3 linked regions of the Lonchura striata genome follow. The protein of the gene in region 1 purifies or fractionates together with the protein of each later gene. This does not show direct contact. Links are inferred from orthologs where the notes say so. Each region holds a gene or a part of one and is shown in the gene's direction. Other genes may lie near its edges.

The links.
Region 2: the proteins of STX12 (region 1) and STX8 purify together in Homo sapiens (affinity purification with mass spectrometry; 3 studies listed by BioGRID and IntAct, counting the BioPlex papers as one, with this or other methods). This does not show direct contact. The link is inferred for Lonchura striata from reciprocal best matches to the Homo sapiens genes STX12 and STX8.
Region 3: the proteins of STX12 (region 1) and NAPG purify together in Homo sapiens (affinity purification with mass spectrometry; 3 studies listed by BioGRID and IntAct, counting the BioPlex papers as one, with this or other methods). This does not show direct contact. The link is inferred for Lonchura striata from reciprocal best matches to the Homo sapiens genes STX12 and NAPG.

The regions. Positions count from the first base shown.
Region 1 is NC_134628.1:5,437,221-5,444,126, reverse strand, and holds the start of STX12 (syntaxin-12), read left to right. Parts: upstream 1-3,823; 5' UTR 3,824-3,862; coding exon 3,863-3,977; intron 3,978-6,906. UniProt on the Homo sapiens protein: SNARE promoting fusion of transport vesicles with target membranes. Together with SNARE STX6, promotes movement of vesicles from endosomes to the cell membrane, and may therefore function in the endocytic recycling pathway.
Region 2 is NC_134621.1:1,093,979-1,101,763, reverse strand, and holds the start of STX8 (syntaxin-8), read left to right. Parts: upstream 1-4,729; 5' UTR 4,730-4,775; coding exon 4,776-4,792; intron 4,793-6,054; coding exon 6,055-6,154; intron 6,155-7,785. Other genes in the region: TBC1 domain family member 24, read right to left, coding at 333-491, 923-1,958, 2,756-2,798. UniProt on the Homo sapiens protein: Vesicle trafficking protein that functions in the early secretory pathway, possibly by mediating retrograde transport from cis-Golgi membranes to the ER.
Region 3 is NC_134603.1:52,163,451-52,171,457, forward strand, and holds the start of NAPG (gamma-soluble NSF attachment protein), read left to right. Parts: upstream 1-4,951; 5' UTR 4,952-5,051; coding exon 5,052-5,107; intron 5,108-7,117; coding exon 7,118-7,185; intron 7,186-8,007. UniProt on the Homo sapiens protein: Required for vesicular transport between the endoplasmic reticulum and the Golgi apparatus.

The DNA.
Region 1 (6,906 bases):
TAAGCTCCCCTGTCCCATCATCCCACTTCCATTAATGTAGCAGGTTGGTATGAGTGTGACTCCCAGAGTGGCATCTGGGTGGGCAGATGGGAAAGTTTACTTTTCAGGGCCTCACCACCTTCACAGGGAAGAATTTCTTCCTAATATCCCATCTCCCCCTGCCCTCTGACAGTGGGAAGCCATTCCCCTTTGCCCTGTCCCTCCATCCCCTGTTCAAAATCTCTCTCCAACTTTACTGGAGCCCCTTCAGGCACTGGAAGGCCACAATAAGACCACCCTGGAGCCTTCTCTTACTCTATTACACAAGTTTCATCCACGGCCCTGCTCCCTATTTACCATCATTTTGACCTGATGTGGATGCTTCTGAAATTAGAATTTTTTTGTTGTAACAAGCATTTTTTAAAGAAATATTTACGCTCCTACTTTACGCACACATACACTAATTTCTTAAGAACATACAGGGCATGACCCCAGTTTTTTTATTCAAAGATTGGATGTACTTTCATTAAAATACTACAACTCCTGCAGCAGGGAGCAGAAAGGGATCTTCTCTTAAAATCCTTTACATTTGCATTATTGCTGGTGGGATTGCTCAGTACTGGAAGCATGGCTCTTCCTCACCCTAGGCCAGGCTGTCACAGCAGCCCTCACCCTGGCAGGGCTCCTTTTTCCTGGACCAAGAACCCAGCAGGGACAGGGAAGTGCCTCTGCTGGGCTGCCATGTCCTAAAAATCTGAATGGCACAGGATGTCTCCCAGACTAAACCTGCCACCATCTACAACTCGGGCTGTCCTGGTAGTGCCAAGCACCTCCTGCAAACTGACATCAGGAACCTGGGATGGTGAGTTTCGTTTCCCATGGAAAAAGGTCAGTGTTCGTGTCCAGGGGCTGTGCCCTGAGTGTGCTGCCACCTCCTAAAGTTCCAAACAGCACAGGATCTCTCCCAGAACAAAGCTGCCACCACCAATAACTCAGGCTGCCCTGGCACTGCTAAACGCCTCCTCTAAATGGACATCAACATACTGTGGGGTGAGTTTATTTTTACAGGGGAAGGAGCAGCATTTGTGTCCAGGGGCCCATGGCTCGGAGTGGGCTGCCACCCTCTAAAATTCTGAGCGGTGCAGGATTTCTCCTGAAATTCCAAACGGTGCAGGATTTGTTCCAGACCCAGCCTGCCACCTGTGGGAATCCAGAGCTTCCCTCTGGCTGCCCTGGCAGGTCTGGGACCCTGGCAGGGGTCAGGAACCCCCCTGGACAGAGCCCCCAGAGACACTGGCTGTGATCTCTGCCCATGGAAAAGAGTTTTCAATCTCACAGGATGAATTACCAGCTCTGAGTGTTTGATATAAGTCATAATTAAGTGTGGCACGGGTGCAAAAGTAAAATTTTAGGTTTCTAGGGGTCCAAAGGGGACAAGATGGAGGAAATTGGGTGTGCCTTGTCCTTTTTCTCCTTCTTCATGCCCTCCATGTCTCACTGTGGTGTTGGCATTTTTCTGTTGGTTCAGGCTGGGGACACACTGTCCAACGTAGGTGACAGATATTGGCACGTTATTGTAAATCCAGCCCAGGGAGTTTCTGGTATTTAATGTTTGTAACATCCCACTGAGGGCAGAGCCCCACACGCTGCCCTGCAGGACAGAGCTGGGCAGGGCAGCAGAACATGTTAGAGATAAACAGAATAAACAACCTTGAAACCAGCACAGACCAATTATGGCTTCAGCAGGGCTGAAAGACAGAGATTTTTACAATCTCGGAATCATCAATACCTCAGATTCCGACAGGCACTGCCTGCAGCTCTGGCTGTCCTGGCAGGGCCAGGCCAGGCGCCGGCACTCAGCCTTGGTGAGGCCACAGTGCAAGCGCTGCGTTCATGTCTGGGCCACTCACTCCAAAAGGGACATGCAGGTGCTGGAGAGTGTCCAGAGAAGGGCAACAAGGCTTGTGAAGTGTGAAAAATGCAAATTTTATGATTGTCTTTTCACAAATATTGAAATGAATATTATATGTGTAATGTTAGAAAGTTATGCTGTATTAATTCTCTTAAGTAGTGTGTTAAATGTAGTTTCAGGTTCCAACATAATGTTAAAATAGAGATTATGTATGTGGGGGAAGTTTTTTTTTAGGAATGAAATACTCACTTTGAGGAACACCTAAATCTTCCCAAGGAGAAGAATTTATGGCTTCTTATCAGAAGAAGCTAATTTGTTCAGGTCCTGCTCAGACTCAAAGACACCATGGGGATTAAAGGAACAGTTGACATACAACAGAGTTTCTTGTTTTAAATAGAATGTATGCATAACCATGAAGGATATATGAATATGCAACAAGTGTATTGTTTTAAGGGTGATTCCTTTGTTCACAAGTCATGCTTGTCGTGACTTAGTGTGAGAGCATCCAGATGTCCGTAATTCTTTGCTTTTTATTGTCTTGTAATTGTCCTAACTCTAAACTTTATTACTCTAATTGTATTATTATTTTATAACCATTTTATTATTATTAAACTTTTAAAATTTTAAAAACCAAGTGATTGGCGTTTTTCACATGAAGGTTCTAGAAAAATATGTCTTACGAAGAAGCGGGTTTGCTTAGTCTCGAGGAGACTCAGGGGGGATCACAAGGGGACTCTACAAGGGGACTCTACAAGTCCCCAAGAAGAGATTGTACTAGGTAGATACTGGTCTCTTTCTCTTCTCTCTTCTCTTTCTCTTCTCTTCTCTTCTCTTCTCTTTCTCTTCTCTCTTCTCTTCTCTTCTCTTCTCTTCTCTTCTCTTCTCTTCTCTTCTCTTCTCCTCTTCTCTTCTCTTCTCTTCTCTTCTCTTCTTTCTCTTCTCTTCTCTTCTCTTCTCTTCTCTTCTCTTCTCTTCTCTTCTCTTCTCTTCTCTTCTCTTCTCTTCTCTTCTCTTCTCTTCTCTTCTCTTCTCTTCTCTTCTCTTCTCTTCTCTTCTCTTCTCTTCTCTCTCATGCCTGTAGTGAGAGGACAGGAGGAAATGGCCTTGAGCAGAGACAGTGGAAATTCACATGAGATACCAGAAAAACCGTTCTTCCAACGAAGGGGCTGCCCATGGAGATGGTGGAGTCACCACTCCTGGAGGTTTTTATGAGGCAGCGGAATGTGGCGCTAGGTGATGTTTTAGTGTTTGAAGGTTACAATGGCAGTGATGGTCGGTGGGGCAGGGTGATCCCCGGGTGGGGCAGGGTGAGCTCCATATGGGGCAGGGTGAGCTCCAGGAGGGGCAGGATGAGCTCCCTGTGGGTCTGGGTGAGTTCCAGGAGGGACAGGGTGAGCTCCATGAGGAGCCGGGTGAGCTCCCTGTGGGTCTGGGTGAGCTCCATGAGGGGCCGGGTGAGCTCCATGTGGGGCAGGATGAGCTCCATGAGGGGCCGGGTGAGCTCCATGAGGGGCCGGGTGAGCTCCATGTGGGGCCGGGTGAGCTCCATGTGGGGCAGGATGAGCTCCCTGCGGGTCTGGGTGAGCTCCATGTGGGGCCGGGTGAGCCCCGGGTGGGGCAGGGTGAGCTCCCTGTGGGTCTGGGTGAGCTCCATGAGGGGCCGGGTGAGCTCCATGTGGGGCCGGGTGAGCTCCATGAGGGGCCGGGTGAGCTCCATGAGGGGCCGGGTGAGCTCCATGTGGGGCCGGGTGAGCTCCATGTGGGGCAGGATGAGCTCCCTGCGGGTCTGGGTGAGCTCCCTGCGGGTCTGGGTGAGCTCCCTGCGGGTCTGGGTGAGCTCCCGCCGCGCCCGCGCCCTCACGCCGCCGCTCTCCCCTCACAGCGGCCGCCCCCGGCGCGCAGGCGCGGCGGCCGCGCAGGCGCGGGCGGGCGGGCGCTGTCAGCGGGGCCGGTGCTCGCTCCGGCCCGGCCATGTCGTACGGGCCGCTGGACCTGCGCGGCCCCGGGGCGCCGCCGCCGCCGCCCCGCGACTTCGGCGGCATCATCCAGACATGCAGCGGCAACGTGCAGCGCATCGCGCAGTACAGTGAGTGCGCGGCCGGGGAGGGACGGGGCGGCCCGGCCCGGCAGCGTGAGGGTGCGGTGGGGGCCGGGATGGGCAGAGCCTCGCCGGAGCGGTGCCGGGCCGGGCACACGGCAGGCACCGGGTGTGGTGATGCCCAGCCCGGCTGCAGCCGCGGTGAACGCTCTCGGTGGGTGTCTGTGCCTGCCGCCGAGCCGCCCCTTCCCACCTCGGGCAGTCCGGCCGCTCGCTGGCATCGCGTGCCCGCAGTGAGGGCTCCGGGGCAGCGCCGGCTGTCACCGGGCTCGGGAGCAGCCGCGGTCCCAGGGATCTCCAATGGGCGTGGAACGGGCGGCTTTCCCCCTCGCTGTGCTGGCAGCGTCCTGCTCCCGGCAGGATGTCCCTAAGGACACAGGTGCACTTTTCCTGTCATTAGAGAAAGTTACCGGTGTTGTACGATAACTATAGAAATCTCAGTACTGGTCACTGAAGGCAGTAACATCCAGGAGAGTCTTTGATGTAATCCTTTCTGAAGATACAGGCTTTGCTAATTGTTCAATGCCCATGCTAGATCAGTTGAATATGTTGGTTCCTCAGAAAGCTTGTGACTTCTCTGATGATGCAAACACATTTATGTTACTGAAAATGTTTTGCTCAGTCATGTTCTTTTCTCCTTGGTGTAGACATTGCTGAATTGTTGGCCAAGTAGCATGGCTTGTTGAGGGTTTTTTTTCCCTTTTCCCCCCTTTTTATTTTTTCCCTTTACACTCCTTCCTTCTTCCTTCCACGGGATTTCTTTGAGCCTCCTGTTCTAAGCAGCTCAGCTTCTCTCTCTCATGGGACAGGCTTCTGCTGTCTCATGACCTGCAGCCATCCTATCTCTGTGCACTGTTATCTCAAGTTAAACAAATAGCCGTACAGTTTTATGGAGGTGGGTGGGAACACTCAGAACATCTGACTTAATGTTACAGTAGTTAACTTCATTACACACCGAATAAAAGCTTTCCATTCAAGCCAAGAGAAGATGCTGTATTGAAGCCTTAAGGCTGTCCTCATTTCTTCTTCCCCTGTAAGGGAAAGAGCAGGCAAACAGTGTGCACAGCTGAGTATTACTCACTTCTTTGGGGAGTCTCTGGAGTGAGCATTTCACACAACATGTACAGAAAACTGGTGGCAAAGCTGGCAAAACTGTTGTTTGCTCAGGTAATGTAGCAGACTTGCAGCTAGAGGAGAGATTGAAGTGTTTCAAGAAATTTTAGCTGTCACATAGTAAGTATGAGGAAGGCTCTACAGCCTGAAATTAAAAGGGCTTGGAGATGGAAAGCTGTTGACTGAGGGGCTCTGTGTGTTGGTGCATACCCACTGTCCAAAGAATAAAGAGCTCCAGCCTCTTTCTTCCATTTCCTAGACACTTTATTCATTTTATTCTTCCTTCCATTTTCTAGACACTTTTTTTTGCATAGACTGTACGTGTTGCTGTTGGCTGAGATAAACTAAGCAAAGCAAACTGCTGAACCTGGCTCAGGGCAGGACAGACTTTGCCTGGCTTGGAAATGGTGCTGTGCAAGAATCTCCCCATGCAGAGAGAAATAAGCCACAGAATGTCTGGACATTATGGCACAAATGCTGTTTGCCAAGTCCTCAGCATCCGCACACAGAGTGCAGTCCTTGTGCTGTTTGTCACCAGCTTGACTGAATTTTTCTGACCTTCCTGTGTCTGACAGAACTGTGAAATATGTGCAGACTTGCTTGCTGGAAGCCAAGCTCAGTATATGAGGAGTTGCCAACAAACTCCTCATTGTATAATCTAATAGAAATCTGAAGTCCTAGGTGAGAATACACTTGGAGAATGTAAAAGCTAATTACTGGCTAATTACTGATTAACTCGTATTGCAGTCTTAGCTGCCCTTGTAAGCCATTGAACATCCTTTTAAAAGAAGTGGTCATTGTAGGGATGTGATGCTTCTCCAGCAACACATTTAATCAACTGCAGAGACTCCAGGCTGAAAGCAGAAGTTAAACAGGAGGGTGTCTCTGAATTGGAAGAAACTTGTTAAACTCATGGGATAATTCAGTTCAATTCAGTTGCCTGTGGAACTGTATAAAGGTGATTCTTCTTGGTCTTGCTTCTCACTGCATGATGAGATAGCTTAGATTTCATGATTGATTTGGATCAATCTTTGTACTGCTGTTTTAAGTGCTGAGCCCAGCACTTCAGTAATGATAAAATCTGTGCTGCTGCAGAATATAGGGGATCAGCTTCTTGATCTGTCAGAAAATAATTCTAAGGTAGAGGGACTGGGGAGAGAAAATGTACTTGCTTTTCAGGTAACCTAATGGTTTGATGTGATTCATTGTGTGGTTTCATGATCATGAGTGCCTACACAAAGAAAATAGTGGGAAAATATCAGAGATAAGGGAGAAGGAGGTCAAAAATACCTTTCTGTGCTACAACAAGATTTCAAATTGACAAAGGCAAAATGTGAGGTGCACATTGCTATCTGTTCTCGAAAGATCATTTGTGCCAGTATTGTGAAATCTTTGGACTATCATGAGTAGAAAAATTCAGGTCTGGGGCAGGGGGTTTTGAAACTAAAAGCAACACTTGGCATTTTCTTTTTATTTTTTTTAAACAGAGCACTAATAATTGAAGTAACTTTAAAACAATGTAAAAGTGGCAACACAGCATAATGAAGTTTTTCTGCAGCAGTGATAGCTTAAGATACTGAAATAGCAAGGCTGGTAGAAACAGCTCTGTTAGTCTAAAAAGGATGAGGAAAAGGAGTGCACAAGCTCTCAGCACCACTGACTTCTCTTGAGGGTATCTATGCCTCACTGTCGCTTTCTTGTCTGAAAGTTAGTTTGTTAGGCTGGGTCATGTATAGGTGGGGATTTTGCATTTCACAGAACCCCAGAACTGTTGGGTTTGGAGCGGACCCCTGGAGATCACCTG
Region 2 (7,785 bases), on another chromosome or scaffold:
CTTGGGGGGAGCTGGAGCCCTGGGCAGGCTGTGCTGCTGTCCCTGGCTGCCCACAGCCTGCCTGGCACGGGGTGGCACTTGGGGACATCCCTGCCTGGCACACCCACGGGGCTCCCTGTGCCCCGGGCAGTGCCCAGGTGTTGGTGCCACCTGGGCCAGCCTCTGCCCTCTCCCCTAAGCCACACTCAGGAGCCCGAATCGAGCCCAGGAGGGTCCCCAGCAGCCCCAGAGGTGGCCCAGGTCACTTGTGCTGCTCCTTTCTCCAGCAGCAAGCCCTGCCCAGGTCTCCCTGCCCGCCTGAGCTGCCCAGCCCTGGGCAGGTGAGGCCTCACCTCTGCAGGCTGCAGCCGTCCTCGGAGGTGGAGAAGAGCAGCAGCGGGGGGAAGAGCGAGAAGCGCTCGGGGATCCAGGACCAGACGAGGCGCATCTCCTGCGCCGTGACAGTGCTGGAGCTGAACTTCTGCATGTCCACGGCCAGGTGGAAGGACGGCCTGCCAGGGGAGGGACATCAGGCCGGGCTGGGGTCCCTCTGCTTCTCGGGGCACAGCCCCTGCAGCAGGTTCTGCCCTGCCCTTTGCACTGTGAGCTCTGTGCCAACATCCCCGGCTCTGCTGTGCCCTGACAAGGGTTCCCGGTCTGGCTGTGCCCTGACAGGGTCTCCGGTCTGGCTGTGCCCTGACAGGGTCCCCAGTCTGGCTGTGCCGTGCCCCTCAGAGGGTCCCCCAGCTCTGCTGTGCCATGTCCCCTGACAGGGTCCCTGGTCTGGCTGTGCCGTGTCCCCTGACAGGGTCCCCCAGGGGCTGCGAGGGCCCAGCCCAGCCACAGCTCTGGGAGGTTCCTGCAGCTCCCCCGGGGGCTCTCCACAGGAACTCACATTGTGGCAGCTCGGCCCCAGAGCTGGGGAGTGCAGAGCTCTCCTCACCTTCTCTGCACCACGGTGATGCCCCTCTCCACCAAGGCCTTCCTGTTGGCCATGTGGAGCAGCCAGATCTCCTTGCGGGAGAAGAGGCGGATGCCGAAGGCTCTCTCCAGGAGTTTGTCCGCAGACACGTGCTCGGCGATGTTCCTGACGAAAGCCTGCAGCTCCGCCTTGACGTCGGAGCCCTGCAGCCCGGCCGGGGCCGCCGAGAGCCGGAACTGCTTCAGCAGGGCCAGGGCGATGCGGTACAGCACCTTCTGGCCCTCCAGCAGGAACACATCCAGCACGCGCACGGCGTAGCCGAAGGGCAGCCCGGGAAAGAGCCACGACAGCCACTCCGAGTAGACCTCGAGGACGTTGTCGGCGGCGCCGGCGATGAGCTTGTGGGCCGCCGGGCAGTGCTTGCTGGCCAGGTCCCCGAAGGTCATGCAGGAGGCCTGGTGGGCCAGGAAGGACTGGTCGATGTAGGCGGCGTGGGGCGCATTGCTGGCGATGAGGCGCGAGAGGCTCTCGAAGCACTGGGCCTCGTCCTCGCTGTAGTGCAGCAGCAGCGCGGCCAGCGCCGGCAGCAGGGGGCTGTGCGTGATGTCGGGGAACAGGGCGCCCACGCACACCAGGATCTTCTTCAGGGCCGTGACCCCGTGCGGGCTGAGGCAGTAGGTGGGCACGGGGCAGCCCTCCAGGAACTCGGGCAGCGGGTGGGAGCTGACGCTGCGCTTCCCGAAGAGCCGGCCGGCCACGTCGCGGTAGGCCGGCGCGTCGGGCGTGACGAGGCGGCAGGAGACGCGCTGGATGAGCCGGGGGTAGAGCCGGGCCCGGCCCGCGTGGCTCCGGGCCCAGCAGCCTTCCCTCGCCAGCCGCTTCAGCTCCTTCGGGGGCCTGCCCAGCACGTCCCGCGGCACCGGCGCCGGCCCCCGCGGCTCCGGCATCTTGTCCCAGTCCACGAAGGGCCCGCGGCCCCGGCACGAGGAGGTGTCGATGTCCCAGGTGTCGGCCTTGGACGTGACCACGATGGTGACCGGGGCCGAGCCGAGCATCTCTGCAGGGCAAAGAGCGTTTATTGAGCACCTTTCGCCGCCCCAGCCTGGCTCGGGGTGCTCTGAGCCTCACAGCCACGTCCGTCCTGGATTTCTTTGCTCTCCCCTGCAAAGGGAAGCGTTTCAGGCTTTGCCCTCTCCATCAGCTCCGGGCCCCGAGAAGTGTGGGGCCAGGTCCCAGCTGGGTGTCAGGGCTGCTGCTCACACCGCGAGGGGCTTTTCACCCCCCGAACGCTGCCAGCCCCGGGGCAGGGCTCGGGCAGCCCCAGCCCGGCGCTGGCAGAGCCGAGCCCGAGCTCCGCCGGGAGACGGGAGCGGCGTTTCCCCGGGGCTGCGGGAGCTCGGGACGAGCCGAGCCCGCCCGGGTGAGCTCTGCTGAGCCAAGGGGACACGGGGACAGCCCGTGGTGGCACAGCTCCGGCTCTCGCTCTCCTGCTCAGCTCGGCGCTTGCCCGAGCCCAGCAGGAGCAGCGGGCCGGGCTCAGGGCCGGAGCTGCTGCATCCGGAGCCGCTCCTGTCCCGGACACAGCCCGACCCCAGCACGGTCACGGGGGCTCCTGGCCGCAGGAACCAGCCTGAGACAGCACCGGCGCTGAGTCGGGGGCTGTCTGCGCCCCAAGTTCACCTCGGCTCTCTCAGGGCGCTGCCCGGGTACCGCGGAGCATCATCCCGAGCCCCGCCGGTGCCCGGCCCCGGGCGCCGAACGGAGGCTCCGGCTCTGCCCGCCCCGGACGAGCCGCGGGGCTCGGGGCAGGCACCGGGCTGTGCCCAGCCCCTCTGACCCGCCCGGCGCACTCACCTCGCCCGGTGCCCGCGTCCTCGCCCGCGGCCGGCTCGGCCATGGGGCAGCGGGGCCGGCTGAGCCCACCCGCAGCATGGGCCAGCCCGGCCACCCCGCGGCTCCGCTCTGCCCCGCACCTGCCCGCGCTCTTAAGGTGCGGCCGGCCCGCGGCCGCGGGGTTTATTTGGGGTAAACACAGCGAGGGTGGAGCAGCTCCGCGCCCGCATCGCCCCTTCCTGCCCCGGTTCCGCGCCGGGCCCGGCCGGGGGCTGTAAACACCCCGTGGGCCGAGATAGCATCAAACAGCAACACGAGCAGTAAACGAGCCCTTTATTTTCCCCAGGATAACCTTCGTGCTCCCGCTCGGCTGCGGCTGCTGCGGGCCGGCCGTGGGCTCCGGCGGCCCCGGTGTGCCCCGGGCAGTGGCTGGCACCGATCGGTGCCAGCCTCGGAACGCGCAGTGAGCGCTGTGCCCACGCACGGAAGAGCTGAGCCGGAGGAAAAGCGGCTCCAGCAGCTGCGAGAGGCTCCCGGGACACCGGCCCGGTCCCGCAGCGCTGCCGCAGAACTCCCAGCTCGGGCTGTGCTCAGCGGGCACTTTTATAGGCATCCCAAGCTTTTAAAAGATGTTTATTTGCCTTTAAAATCGGATTGTTTCTGGTGTGATAAGAGCAGCTGCAGGTTGTTCCTGACCTGCCTCCCTGCCTGTGAAATATGAAAGATGTAGAGGCCGTGGGGCTCGGGCTGAGCAGCGCAAGCCGAAGGCCATGAATGTTTGATGGCCGCGGCTGCGGGAGCATCTCCGGGTGTGCGGAGAGACGGGCCAGGGGACAGAGCCCAGCCCGGAACGGGGGAGCAGAGCGGGGATCAGTTCTGGAACGGGGATCAGAACACGGATCAGTTCTGGAACGGGGGAGCAGAACACGGATCAGTTCTGGAATGGGGGAGCAGAGCGGGGATCAGTTCTGGAACGGGGAGCAGAACACGGATCAGTTCTGGAACAGGGGAGCAGAGCGGGGATCAGTTCTGGAACGGGGGAGCAGAACACGGATCAGTTCTGGAATGGGGGAGCAGAGCAGGGATCAGCCCCGGAACGGGAACAACGTGCTGAGGAGATGCGCTCGTTCTCGTTATCAATGTCGTTATCACTATTGTTATGATTGTCCCTATCGCTGCCGTCATCGCTGCCGTTATCAGCACGGCCCCGCATCACGAGGGCGACAAAGCCTCGCTGGCTCTGTCAAACTCCTCGGGTTTGTGCCCCATTTGCGTCACCGGTCGCCCCCAAAAACAAAGGGAGAGGGCAAACCCCGGTGGATCAGGGGTGGGAAGGGCTCGGAGCCGAAACAGCGACAGTGCCAACACCTCCAGTGGCACCGGGACCGGGGCACGGCGACATCGGCATGGGCAGCGGCTGTCCCCGCAGATGGGCAGGGACAGGGGACAGCGCTGGAGAGGGAACCGGTGCCACCGCTCAGCGCTGGGTTTCTGTGGCAGCAGGGAGGGGTGGGGACAGCTGTGGCTGTGTGCTGTGCACATCTGCACACATCTACACCTGAACAGCCTAAACACCTCTGCACCTTGTACTGCAAACCTCTGTGCATGGAACCTCTGTTAACCCCGAACATCTGCACGTGTCCCTACGCCCCGCACATCTGTCCCTGCACTCTGCACACCTGCCCCTCTGTCCCGAACACCCCAAACATCTGCCCCTCTATCCCGAACATCTGCAGCTGTCCCTGCACTCTGCACACCTGCCCCTCTGTCCCTGCAAACCCCGAACATCGGCCCCCCTGCCCCGAGCACCGGCCCTGCCCTCCCCGCTGCGCCACCGGCGCCGCTCCCCGCACTGCCGCCCCTCGGGGGCCGGCTGCGCTGCCCGGGCCCGAGCCCCGGTACCTCTCTCCATCTCTCCATCTCTCCCCTCTCTCCCCATCTCTCCCATTTCCCTCTCCCGTTTCCCTTCCCCTCCGTCCCCTCCCGGCGCCTGCGCGCCCGGGCGGATCCGGCGGAAGCTCCGGGCAGGTTCCGGGCCGCGATGGCTCCGGACCCCTGGTGAGCTCCGGGCCGGGCCGGGCCGGGCCGGGCCGGGCTGCGGGTCGGGGCCGGGCCGGGAGCCGCCCCGCGGGGGCTGCGGAGCGTGCGGGGAGCGGGGCCGGGCGGGGCGCGGTGTGCCTTCCCAAAGCCCGACCCGGTGTGCGTGTGTTTGTGTTTGTGTTTGTGTTTGGGGTCTGTGCCTTCCCAAAGCCCATCCTGGTGTGGTTGTGTATTTGGGGTCTGTGCTGCCCTTCCCGGGCTCCTTTCCCAAAGCCCATCCCGGTGTGTTTGTGTTTGGGGGCTGTCTCTGCCCTTCCCAGGCTCCTTTCCCAAAGCCCATCCTGGTGTGGTTGTGTATTTGGGGTCTGTGCTGCCCTTCCCAGGCTCCTTTCCCAAAGCCCATCCCGGTTTGTTTGTGTTTGGGGGCTGTCTCTGCCCTTCCCGGGCTCCTTTCCCAAAGCCCATCCCGGTGTGTTTGTGTTTGGGGGCTGTCTCTGCCCTTCCCAGGCTCCTTTCCCAAAGCCCATCCTGGTGTGGTTGTGTATTTGGGGTCTGTGCTGCCTTTCCCGGGCTCCTTTCCCAAAGCCCATCCCGGTGTGTTTGTGTTTGGGGGCTGTCTCTGCCCTTCCCAGGCTCCTTTCCCAAAGCCCATCCTGGTGTGGTTGTGTATTTGGGGTCTGTGCTGCCCTTCCCAGGCTCCTTTCCCAAAGCCCATCCCGGTTTGTTTGTGTTTGGGGGCTGTCTCTGCCCTTCCCGGGCTCCTTTCCCAAAGCCCATCCCGGTGTGTTTGTGTTTGGGGGCTGTCTCTGCCCTTCCCAGGCTCCTTTCCCAAAGCCCATCCTGGTGTGGTTGTGTATTTGGGGTCTGTGCTGCCTTTCCCGGGCTCCTTTCCCAAAGCCCATCCCGGTGTGTTTGTGTTTGGGGGCTGTCTCTGCCCTTCCCGGGCTCCTTTCCCAAAGCCCATCCCAGGCTTTGGGGCTGTGTGGTTTTTTGGGGGTGTTGTGCTTTCCCCTCCCGAGGCTTATACCGGCGGGTCGCAGCACATCCTGGCGGGTTCTAGCCCATCCTAGCCCATCCCGGCTGATCCCATGAGATCCCAGTTGATCCCATGAGATCCCAGCTGATCCCAGCTGTTCCGGGTGGGTCCCAGCCCATCCTGGCTGATCCCATGAGATCCCATCCCATCCTATCCCATGGATCCCATCCCATCCCAGCCCATCCCATGGATCCCATCCCATTATCCCACGCCACGATCCCAGTATCCCGCTGTCGCTCTGCAGGCTGCCGCAGCTGGCCGCCGCCCGCCAGCTGGCCCAGGACATCGCCGAGAAGCTGCAGGAGCGGAGCCGCTGCCAGCGGAGCGGGGAGAGCTCGGCCAAGGTGCCCCGGCGGGGGCGGGACCGGCGGGGCTGGGGCCGGGATTGGCTCGGGAGGCGGAATTCCGGCATGCGAGGAGGAATTCCCGGGGTGCGGGGAGGAATTCCAGGATGGAGCTGTCCCAGAGGCTCTGGGATGCTGGGATGGAACTGTCCCAGAGGCTCAGGGATATTGGAATAATGGGATGGAGCTGTCCCAGAAGCTCAGGGATCAGGAATAATGGGATGGAGCTGTTCCAGAGGCTCTGGGATGCTGGGATGGAGCTGTCCCAGTGGCTCAGGGATGTTGGGATGGAGCTGTCCCAGAGGCTCTGGGATGTTTGGATGCTGGGATGGAGCTGTCCCAGTGGCTCAGGGGTGTTGGGATGCTGGGATGGAGCTGTCCCAGTGGCTCAGGGGTGTTGGGATGCTGGGATGGAGCTGTCCAGAGGCTCTTGGATGCTGGGATGGAGCTGTCCAGAGGGTCTGGGGTGTTGGGATGCTGGGATGGAGCTGTCCCAGAAGCTCAGGGATCAGGAATAATGGGATGGAGCTGTCCCAGAGGCTCTGGGATGCTGGGATAGAGCTGTCCAGTGGCTCAGGGGTGTTGGGATGCTGGGATGGAGCTGTCCAGTGGCTCAGGGGTGTTGGGATGCTGGGATGGAGCTGTCCAGAGGCTCTGGGGTGCTCAGCAGCTGCTCTGTGCCCTCTGTCTGTGAGCAGGGAGCAGATGTTCCTCCCCCAGGGCTGGCTCCTGCCTTTTGCAGTGCCTGCAGGTCAGAGGGAACAGGAATCTTGCAGCCGTGTTTTAGCTGCATTTCTCACAGAATGCAAGCCCAGAGTTAACAGGAATGAGAAGCAGCAGTTGGAGCTTCCCCAGGAATGTTGTGTCCTCCACGTTTTCACACTCCCTGTGTAAGAAATAAAATAAAGTTAGGGTTTTCAGGAGACTGCTTTCCCTGGGGCTCCTTTCCTTCAGGAGCAGCTTTGAGTCATTACCTGCTCCCTTGGCTGTGTTCAGGTGAAAATTGCTGCAAGCCCTTGAGTTGGTAGTTTTTAATAATTGGCATAATCAAAGGTGCAGTGCTTTTTCTCCCCCTCTCTGTATCAGGGCTGTAATGCAGTGCCTGATCACTGGATCTGCTGGGCCACTCACTTTGCTGAGAGGTGTTCAAATCAAATGTCATTTTTGAAATGTTTCCTAGGAAGAAATTCTGAGGAAGAGTGTGTAGGCTGTGCACAATAACCAGTGCTGCTGAATGGCTGCCTCACTTCAGCAGGAGTTGAGCAGGGGTCTCAGAAACCCCAATAAGTGGGATTTGGGAGCAGGATTTTCTCTGGCTGTGGAGTGTTTGGAGGTGCAGATTAAATTCCTGCTTTCAGGATGGTGAAGTGTCAGAATTGCACAGATACTCCTCAACAACAGAAGACCAATAAAAACTTGCTGCTCAGTCTGTATTTATGGAGGGCAAAGTTCTCTGCTGCCATCAGTGGCACCTCTGAGGAGCCCAAACCCCGATGGAACATGGGGCTGGTGCTGTTTGGAGCCTTTCTGGGGCTGGAACTCTCCGGGGTTGTGTTTGTGGAAACATTGCACGGGTGACTGACTCCTCCATAAAATCATCTGTCCCATGGCCTGCGTTTTCCAGCTTCCTT
Region 3 (8,007 bases), on another chromosome or scaffold:
GATAGGCCACCTTACTTAGCCATCAATAGGAGCATGTAAATTATGTATGTTCAACAAATCGTGTGGAAGGTATTATGAATGATTCACATTGGCTCATCCTACCAGAACGTCCTCCTTCTTTCTCATGTCCAATGAATCTGGAAAGCCAAGTAAACATTACCATCTTCTCCCAGTTGGGATATTTATAATATCTCTCTCTTTATTCTCTGACATCTAATAAGAGGCATGCTCACATTGCAGTCCTCTGCTATTTAATTAAAGACAATCAGTAGGGAGACACAAATCTACAGAAAAACAGTCTTTATTAACTTTCCTGCCCTCGGAGTTATTTGTTTGCTTTCTGCCATATCCACAGACAGTGATGTCTGAAAGACATATGAGTTATATGGATTTAATGCTGAAGACAGGAAAAGGAAAGATACCAGGGCACTCAGGTGCTGGCACTGGGTTGGAGTGATCACAGAGCACAGAGTTTTTATGTATATTATGGGCCCAAAATTTGTCTGACCCAATTGTACATTACACCATTAGTGATGGCCCAGTCTTTCTGGGAGAAGAAATATGCAGATCCCTCTCCCTTCCTCTCAGATAATTTCCTCAGCATGGCAGTGGAGCTGTATTGTAGTTATGACTCCAATTTCAGACACTAATAAATTATAAAGCAGAACTTTCCATGTTCTGCTGCCATAAAAGGGTACCAGACAGAGGTGAGAAATCCAGATCTGGGAAAACTTAAATTCACCTTCCAGATCCACTGGAGTAGCAGATAGGATTCAGAAGCTGACTTAAAGTACATTTCGCTGCAGCCAGTCCTGACTTTCTGAAAGAACACAACATATTTATTGAAAAGTTACAGTTAATTAAGAAACAAATTTTAGCTATGTACTGATACTGGTTGTACTGATAGTTTCATATAACTAACAACAGCTCTCTGAAGGACACCCAGACTGTCCTGATGGCAGGGCTGTAGGGGGACTCAGCCATAATGGTGGACAGTGCTGTCTCCAGCTGCTTGCCTCCAGCCTTTAGCCAGAGTTATCCCCATGAAGAGATACACAAGTGCCTTTTAACCCATTTAAGACAAATTAGTTGTAAAGCTTACGCACCTTGTTTCTCACAACTTGATTCCTTTGGTTGCAATGATGCAAATGAAGAAATGCTTATATAGAAGACAGAAACTCTTTGCAAGGTGTAGTGATAGGTAGATGAGGACTGGCTAATGATCAGTGACTTCTACTAATACAGCTATTTATAGAGTTCCTATCTTTGTCACTCCAACTATCATCCCTGCAAGGTTTTGTTTTTGGTGTTTGTTTGGTTGGGGTTTTTTTGGTTTTTTTTGGGGTTTTTTTTTCACATTTTACCTGGCCATTTTTTCGGAACCAAATTCACAGCCAAGCACCAGATGCTGTGATATGATCCTTCCCAGATGTAAAATCTCCAGAGGTTCCATGTCTACAAAAGAAAAGCTACCCAAGAATATCCTATTTCATTTAATACTAGTCTTGGAAATCTTTCATCTGGTCATTCCAGTATAAAGTGTAACCAGACAGTGCACATGTGCAGTTTCACTAGAAAGTGAACAGATATTTACAACCCAGGGAACAGAGGAGGCCAGAAGCCCTAGCAAAAACAAACACACAGACTAGAAGTCATAAGTTTGGTGCTTCAGAACAATAGTCTGAGATTATTCTGTCATTTAATGTTGCTGCCTAGGATTTAATTTTCCTGGTTAACACAAGTTTATTTTTAAAATGCACTGGAGCAAGCTCATAGTTATACAGCCAGATCTATCCTGGCTGACATTACAAGGAAAGGAAGACAGACGTGATGACACAGGAATCTTTCTGATCATAGCTTCCTCTGCTTTATACCTGCTACCACCAAGCACTTGCCAAAAACCTTTTTTGTGTATGTATTATGCAGGATTAGCTATTTTCTCCCAGTACTCCCATGACAACTCATCTGCTTTTGAAAGCAGAAAACCTCTCCACAACCTTTTCCCCTACTTTGATCTAGGACACAGAATAATAGTATTTAAGATTTAGTGGGAATTTTCCACCATCTGCAATAGGTGATAACCTCTCAAGTGCAATGCATGAACCAAAGTCAGAAAATTAAGTGTCCATGTCATCGAAGGAATGTGGGAAAAGGAAAAGGAAGGGAAAGCAATACAGACTTGTGTGTTTTATGACTACCTAGAGTAAAACAAATCACGTAAATATTGCTTCTTTTCCCAGTTTGATGTAGAAACTTGTAAAGCTCTGATTTCTGTAAACTGTATGGACTTTCAGAGAAGCACAGTATATTGAGTTGGAAGGGACCCATAAGGATAATTTCAATGACTTTTAGGCTCTGGGAAGTTCTGCAAATTTAACCAGGTTCTTGCTTTGCTTTCTCTGGTGTTAAATACTTCACTTATTCATATTGTGTGAGATCCCCGGCCTTGCTCTGGGGTCTCATGTGGTGGTGAAATACCTCTTCCAACCCGTGCTTCCAAAGAAAAACTCCACAGGCTTTAGCTGTTCGGTCTCAAGGCAGTTTATTGCTAGTTATCTAACAGATTATGTTCTTGGACTGCGGCTATTTGATCAGCGGCCCAAGCAGAGACACACACACCCTGACACCCTCACTGTCTGCTGTCTTCTTTGTCTCTCCCCCCGCCCAGGGCTGCTGCTATCTTTTATAAGATATATTACATATAACATGTTTACAATTATTCCCCAATACCTACTACCTATGTTGCCAAGTGTTTTTCTACTCTAAACCAATCTGTGAGTGCCAACATCACCAAGAACATGGAGGTAAGGAAAAAGAAGGAGGAAGAACAGGATCAGCCCACTTTCCTCCATCTTAGAACTTCTGACCCCCATGTACAAAGTGAAAACCCCCCTGTACATGTGTTAAAACCCCCCTGTACAATACTAAAAAAATTTCCCCTCTACTTTGTAATTACTTTTACTATACTATCTAACCTTTTGTGACTGCTTGTTCCACTTCCAAAGTTGGTAATTCATTCCATGGCTCAAACTCAAAATCACAGCTGTTTTTCAGCTGTCTGCCAGGGTCTAGAATGCTTCTGACCAAGGCCTGGAATCTCTGAAAATGTCTGAAAGACATTTTGAGTTCCCACAATATTGGAATAAAATAATGATGTCCAAGATTGGAGAAGGAATACCTTCCTGGGTTCAATGACTGATTTCTGTTTCTCAGCGATGTTTCACATTAACAAAACTAAGGGATCAGGGAAGCTGGAAATAAGAGCAATAATAGATACTTTAGCATTTTTTACTTAATTGCTGAGTGTATAATTTGGGTAACTTGCACGATTACGTGGCTCTGGTGTGCTCAGCCACCACTCACACCTTCTGCATCAGATCTCTGTGTCAAACTGGCTGGAGACAACACTGAGTCAGAAGATCATGCCTCAGCAGAACTGCCTCTGGAGGCTTCCTGAAGGCAGGGCACGCATTTGTAAAAAACCTGGCCTCTTTTTGAAAACCCTGGGAAACGCAGATCTTGCTCATTCCTGTTCTGGGCTGTGTCCAGTTCTGGGCCCCTCATTACAAGACAAGGAGCTACTGTAGAGGGTCCGGCAGAGGCCACAAAGACTGGGCATCTCTCTTATGAGCAAGACTGGGAGCTGGGCCTGTTTAGTCTGAAAACTGAGAGGGGATCCCATCAATACATATGAGTATCTCAAAGGAGGGTGTTAGGAGGATGGTGCCAGGCTCTTTTTTGTGGTACTTAGTGGCAGGACGAGGAGCAACGGCCACAAAATAAAATGCAGGAAATTTCACCTCAACATGAGGAAGAACTTCACACTGAGGGTGGCAGAGCACTGAACAGGCTGCCCAGGGAGGTCATGGAGTCTCCCTCTCCGAGACATTCAAAATCCATCTGCATGCATTCCTGTGTCACCTGCTCTAGCTGACCCTGCTTGGCAGGAGGGGTGGACCAGATGATCTCCAAAAATCCCTTCCAAGCCTAACGATTCTGGGATTCTGTGTGAGTCCGTTTTTTAACAACCTTCTGTCGACGGGGCTGTGCGGGGGAGCTGCCCGCCAGCCCCGGAGCGCGGCACAGCCCAGCGCTGGGCACCCATGCCTGCACAAGCCGCGCCGGAGCCGCTGTGCCCGGACCGCAGCGCTCGGGGCACTGCGGGCACTCGGGGCGCTGCGGGCACTGCGGGCGCTCGGGGCACTGCGGGCACTCGGGACACTGCGGGCACTCGGGGCAGTCCGGGCACTCGGGGCAGTGCGGGCACTGCGGGCACTCGGGGCACTGCGGGCACTGCGGGCACTGCGGGCACTCGGGGCACTGCGGGCACTCGGAGCACTGCGGGCACTCGGGGCACTGCGGGCACTCGGAGCACTGCGGGCACTGCGGGCACTGCGGGCACTGCGGGCACTCGGGGCACTCGGAGCACTGCGGGCACTCGGAGCACTGCGGGCACTCAGAGCACTGCGGGCACTCGGAGCACTGCGGGCACTCGGGGCAGTGCGGGCACTCGGGGCAGTCCGGGCACTCGGGGCACTGCGGGCACTGCGGGCACTCGGGGCACTGCGGGCACTCGGGGCACTGCGGGCAGTCCGGGCACTCGGGGCACTCCCGGCACTCGGGGCACTGCGGGCACTCGGGGCAGTGCGGGCACTCGGGGCACCCCCGGCACTCGGGGCAGTGCGGGCACTCGGGGCACTGCGGGCACTCGGGGCAGTCCGGCCCCGGCCCCGGCGCAGGCGGGCCCGGGCAGCGGGCGGGCCCGGGCAGCGGGCGGGCCCGGGCAGCGGGCGGGGCCGGGCAGCGGGCGGGCCCGGGCAGCGGGCGGGCCCGGGCAGCGGGCGGGCCCGGGCAGCGGGCGGGGCCGGGCAGCGGGCGGGCCCGGGCAGCGGGCGGGCCCGGGCAGCGGGCGGGGCCGGGCAGCGGGCGGGGCCGGGCAGCGGGCGGGGCCGGGCCGCTCCTCCCGGTGCCCGTGATCCCTGCGCCGTTCCGTAGCCGCAGCGCAGGGGGGCGGAGGAGCGGGACGGAGCCCGCCCCGCCCCGCTGGCGAGATGGCGGCGCAGAAGATTAACGAGGCGCTGGAGCACATCGCGAAAGCGGAGAAATAGTGAGCGGAGGGCCGCGGGGCGGAGGGTGCGGGCTGCGGGGCGCTGGCGAGCGGCTGCCAGCTCGGCACCCGCGCGGTCCCGGCCGCCCGGCGTGTCCCCTCCTGGCCTGGCAGGGCGGCTGAGGAGGCTCCGTGTGCCAGGCGGCGGCGCACCGGGAGAAGGGCAGGGAGGTGGGGGGCATGGCTGCTCGGCCCCTCCTCTGCCTGAGAGGAGCCTCCGTACCGGGCTGGGTGCTCTAGAGGGCCTGCTGCCCCCAACGGCGACAGTAAAGGGCCCTAAGACTAAACAGTGGGGTCCGTGGGCGGTGTGGCTCAGTGGCCTGGAGCCCGAGCAGTTCCCTTCAGGGCCTTGTGGCCTCTATTGCTCCGACGCTGACAGCAAAGAAAGGGCTGCCACGTCTGCCCTTCTGCTGAAGTTAGTGGGAGGAAGACAAGTCACAGAATCAATTAGGTTGGAAAAGGTTTCTGAGATGGTCGAATCCAACCTGTGACACAACACCACTCTGTCAACTAGATCAGGGCACTGAGTGCCACATCCAATCTTTCCTTAAACACCGCTGTGGATGGTGACTCTATCACCTCCCTGGGCAGCCCATTCCAATATCTAATAACCCTTTCTGTGAATAATTTCTTCCAAATGTCCATCTTAAACCTACCCTGGCACATCTTAAGGCTATAGACAAGTGTGAGAAAAGAGTTATGGAGGCTGTGTTGGGTAAAAGGGCTTGACTTTGCTGAGGTGGTGGGTGGTTGTTCTCTGCCCTTGAGAAATCTGTGATTGGTGCTTCTTAGGTGCCTTCAAAAACCTATACTTATCTTGGAGAGCTTTCTCTTTAACATCTATGATAGTCTGTTACTGGGTATTTTAATACCAAATATAGCCATTTTGCTTGTAAGTCTGAATTGCACAGAGTACAATATAGATGTAATAGAGCTGACTAATCCAAGGATGCCATAGTTTTAGTAAGAGTAGTGACAGGCCCTCTGGATATCATGGATCAACTGTATAAATTGGCATAGAGGGAAGGCTTTGAAGTTGAAAAAGCCTGGCATATCTTACTCAAGTTACTTGACTGAAAGTGCCCTCCAGCAGAATTAATTTTAAGCTTATCTGTAGAGCACTTGAAATTAAAGGCACTGAGACCTCAAATTGTGTGTAGCTTGAGTGCATTGTGTATTTCAGCTTGATGCATTTGAGACTCCGACTGTGATAAAAATAGCACAATATATAGGCTTGTGTTAGAGTTACACACTCTGGTCATCATCCAAGTAAGACAGCAAGGCCACCTTAGTATCCATATCTACAGCTGTTTAGCCAAGTAAAGAATGTATTGCATATGATGTATTGGCCAATAACAAATATACAAGCAGACGGTAAAATTATGGTAATATTTTAATTTCTTTTAGAAATGAGAGAAGTCAGCATATTGAATTCCAAGTTGCCTAATCACTCAACTAATTTTCCAATGTTCATTTTCCTCTATGTATCTATGCCTTTTAGTGTCATGATCTATTTTAGACATATAAATGACATGTGAATCTTTGTGTTGGTAACTAAATTCTTTTATTTGTGTATGCATTGGAGAGTCTTTGATAAATCTCAGAAGCAAAAAAAAAAAAAAATCCTGTAGAGGAATGCTGGAAACTTCCTGATGTGTGAAAAAAAAAAAATATTGTCAGGTGTCATGCTATTAGAAATCTGGAGATACCATGTTGGTGTAGGAGGAAGTGTTTTTATTCTGCTGACTTCTTACTGCTGAGAAGATGGAGTTGGGAATACTCTCTGGGAACAGTAGAAGCATGTTAGGTGAGGATGGTAACTGGGAGATAATTGCAGTGCTTTATGCAGTTCTTACCAGTGCTGGCATTTGTTTTTATGGTACAGATGCCACCATAGTATTGGCACATCGGTAATTGCTCATTTCCAGGGGTATTCTAAAGTTTGAAATGTATCTGAAGTGCCTTTATGGTAAAACATAAAATCTTTACTAATTGCTTCTTGCGTTTTAGCCTGAAAACTGGATTCTTAAAGTGGAAACCAGATTATGACAGTGCAGCTACTGAATATGGGAAGGCAGGTATGTGGCAGTAAATATGGCCATATATATTTAAAAGTATTCATCAAGCTGAGTCCCTTATAATGTTTTATGTATTTTTATTACATTACTGTGTAAGTATAACTGTTGTGAAGACTAAATGGAAGATGAAACAACAAAAAATCCTCTTGGTATCACTATAAAATAAATCTCAGGTTGTACTTGGAGATCTAGAACAGTTTCCAAAACCAATTTCTTTTTTCAAGCTTGCAACTTCTATTTTTTATATTGCTATACGTGACAAAAATAAAGCTTTCTTTCCTTCTTTCACTTGTCCACCCCCAAATCCTATGACTTTATCTACAAAACAACAGACGTTCAAGCTGATTTTAAAATTTTGCTTTATCATCACCTTATGAAATATGTCCTGTCAAAGACTGTCTCCGTAAGGTGAAATGCTGGCAGATTATTTCAGGCACAGTAGAGTCTCATTCCTCCCTTTTTCTACTGCCAAGACATGCTAAATATAAAATCCTTACTTGCTGATTTCTTTTTGTTCTTAAGCATTTTCTTCTTTCTCATAGTAGTAATTTGTCATGGTCTTCTGGCTTCTTACTCTAGGCATTCCTACTATTCACCTAAGACTGAATAAAAAAATACAAACTTGGAAGAACAACTAGAGAATTTATAAATGGAAATTTATTTTAAATCTTTCTTTATATTTAATTAGTTAAGCAAGATAGAAATACATATTTGTACTCTGAAATTATTGTGCTGACAAAGATATGGGTATGCCTTGTTGGTGGCACATTTCTGACTTCTTATAACTCCTAATGATTAAAATTATATAAATATGTATTCCTC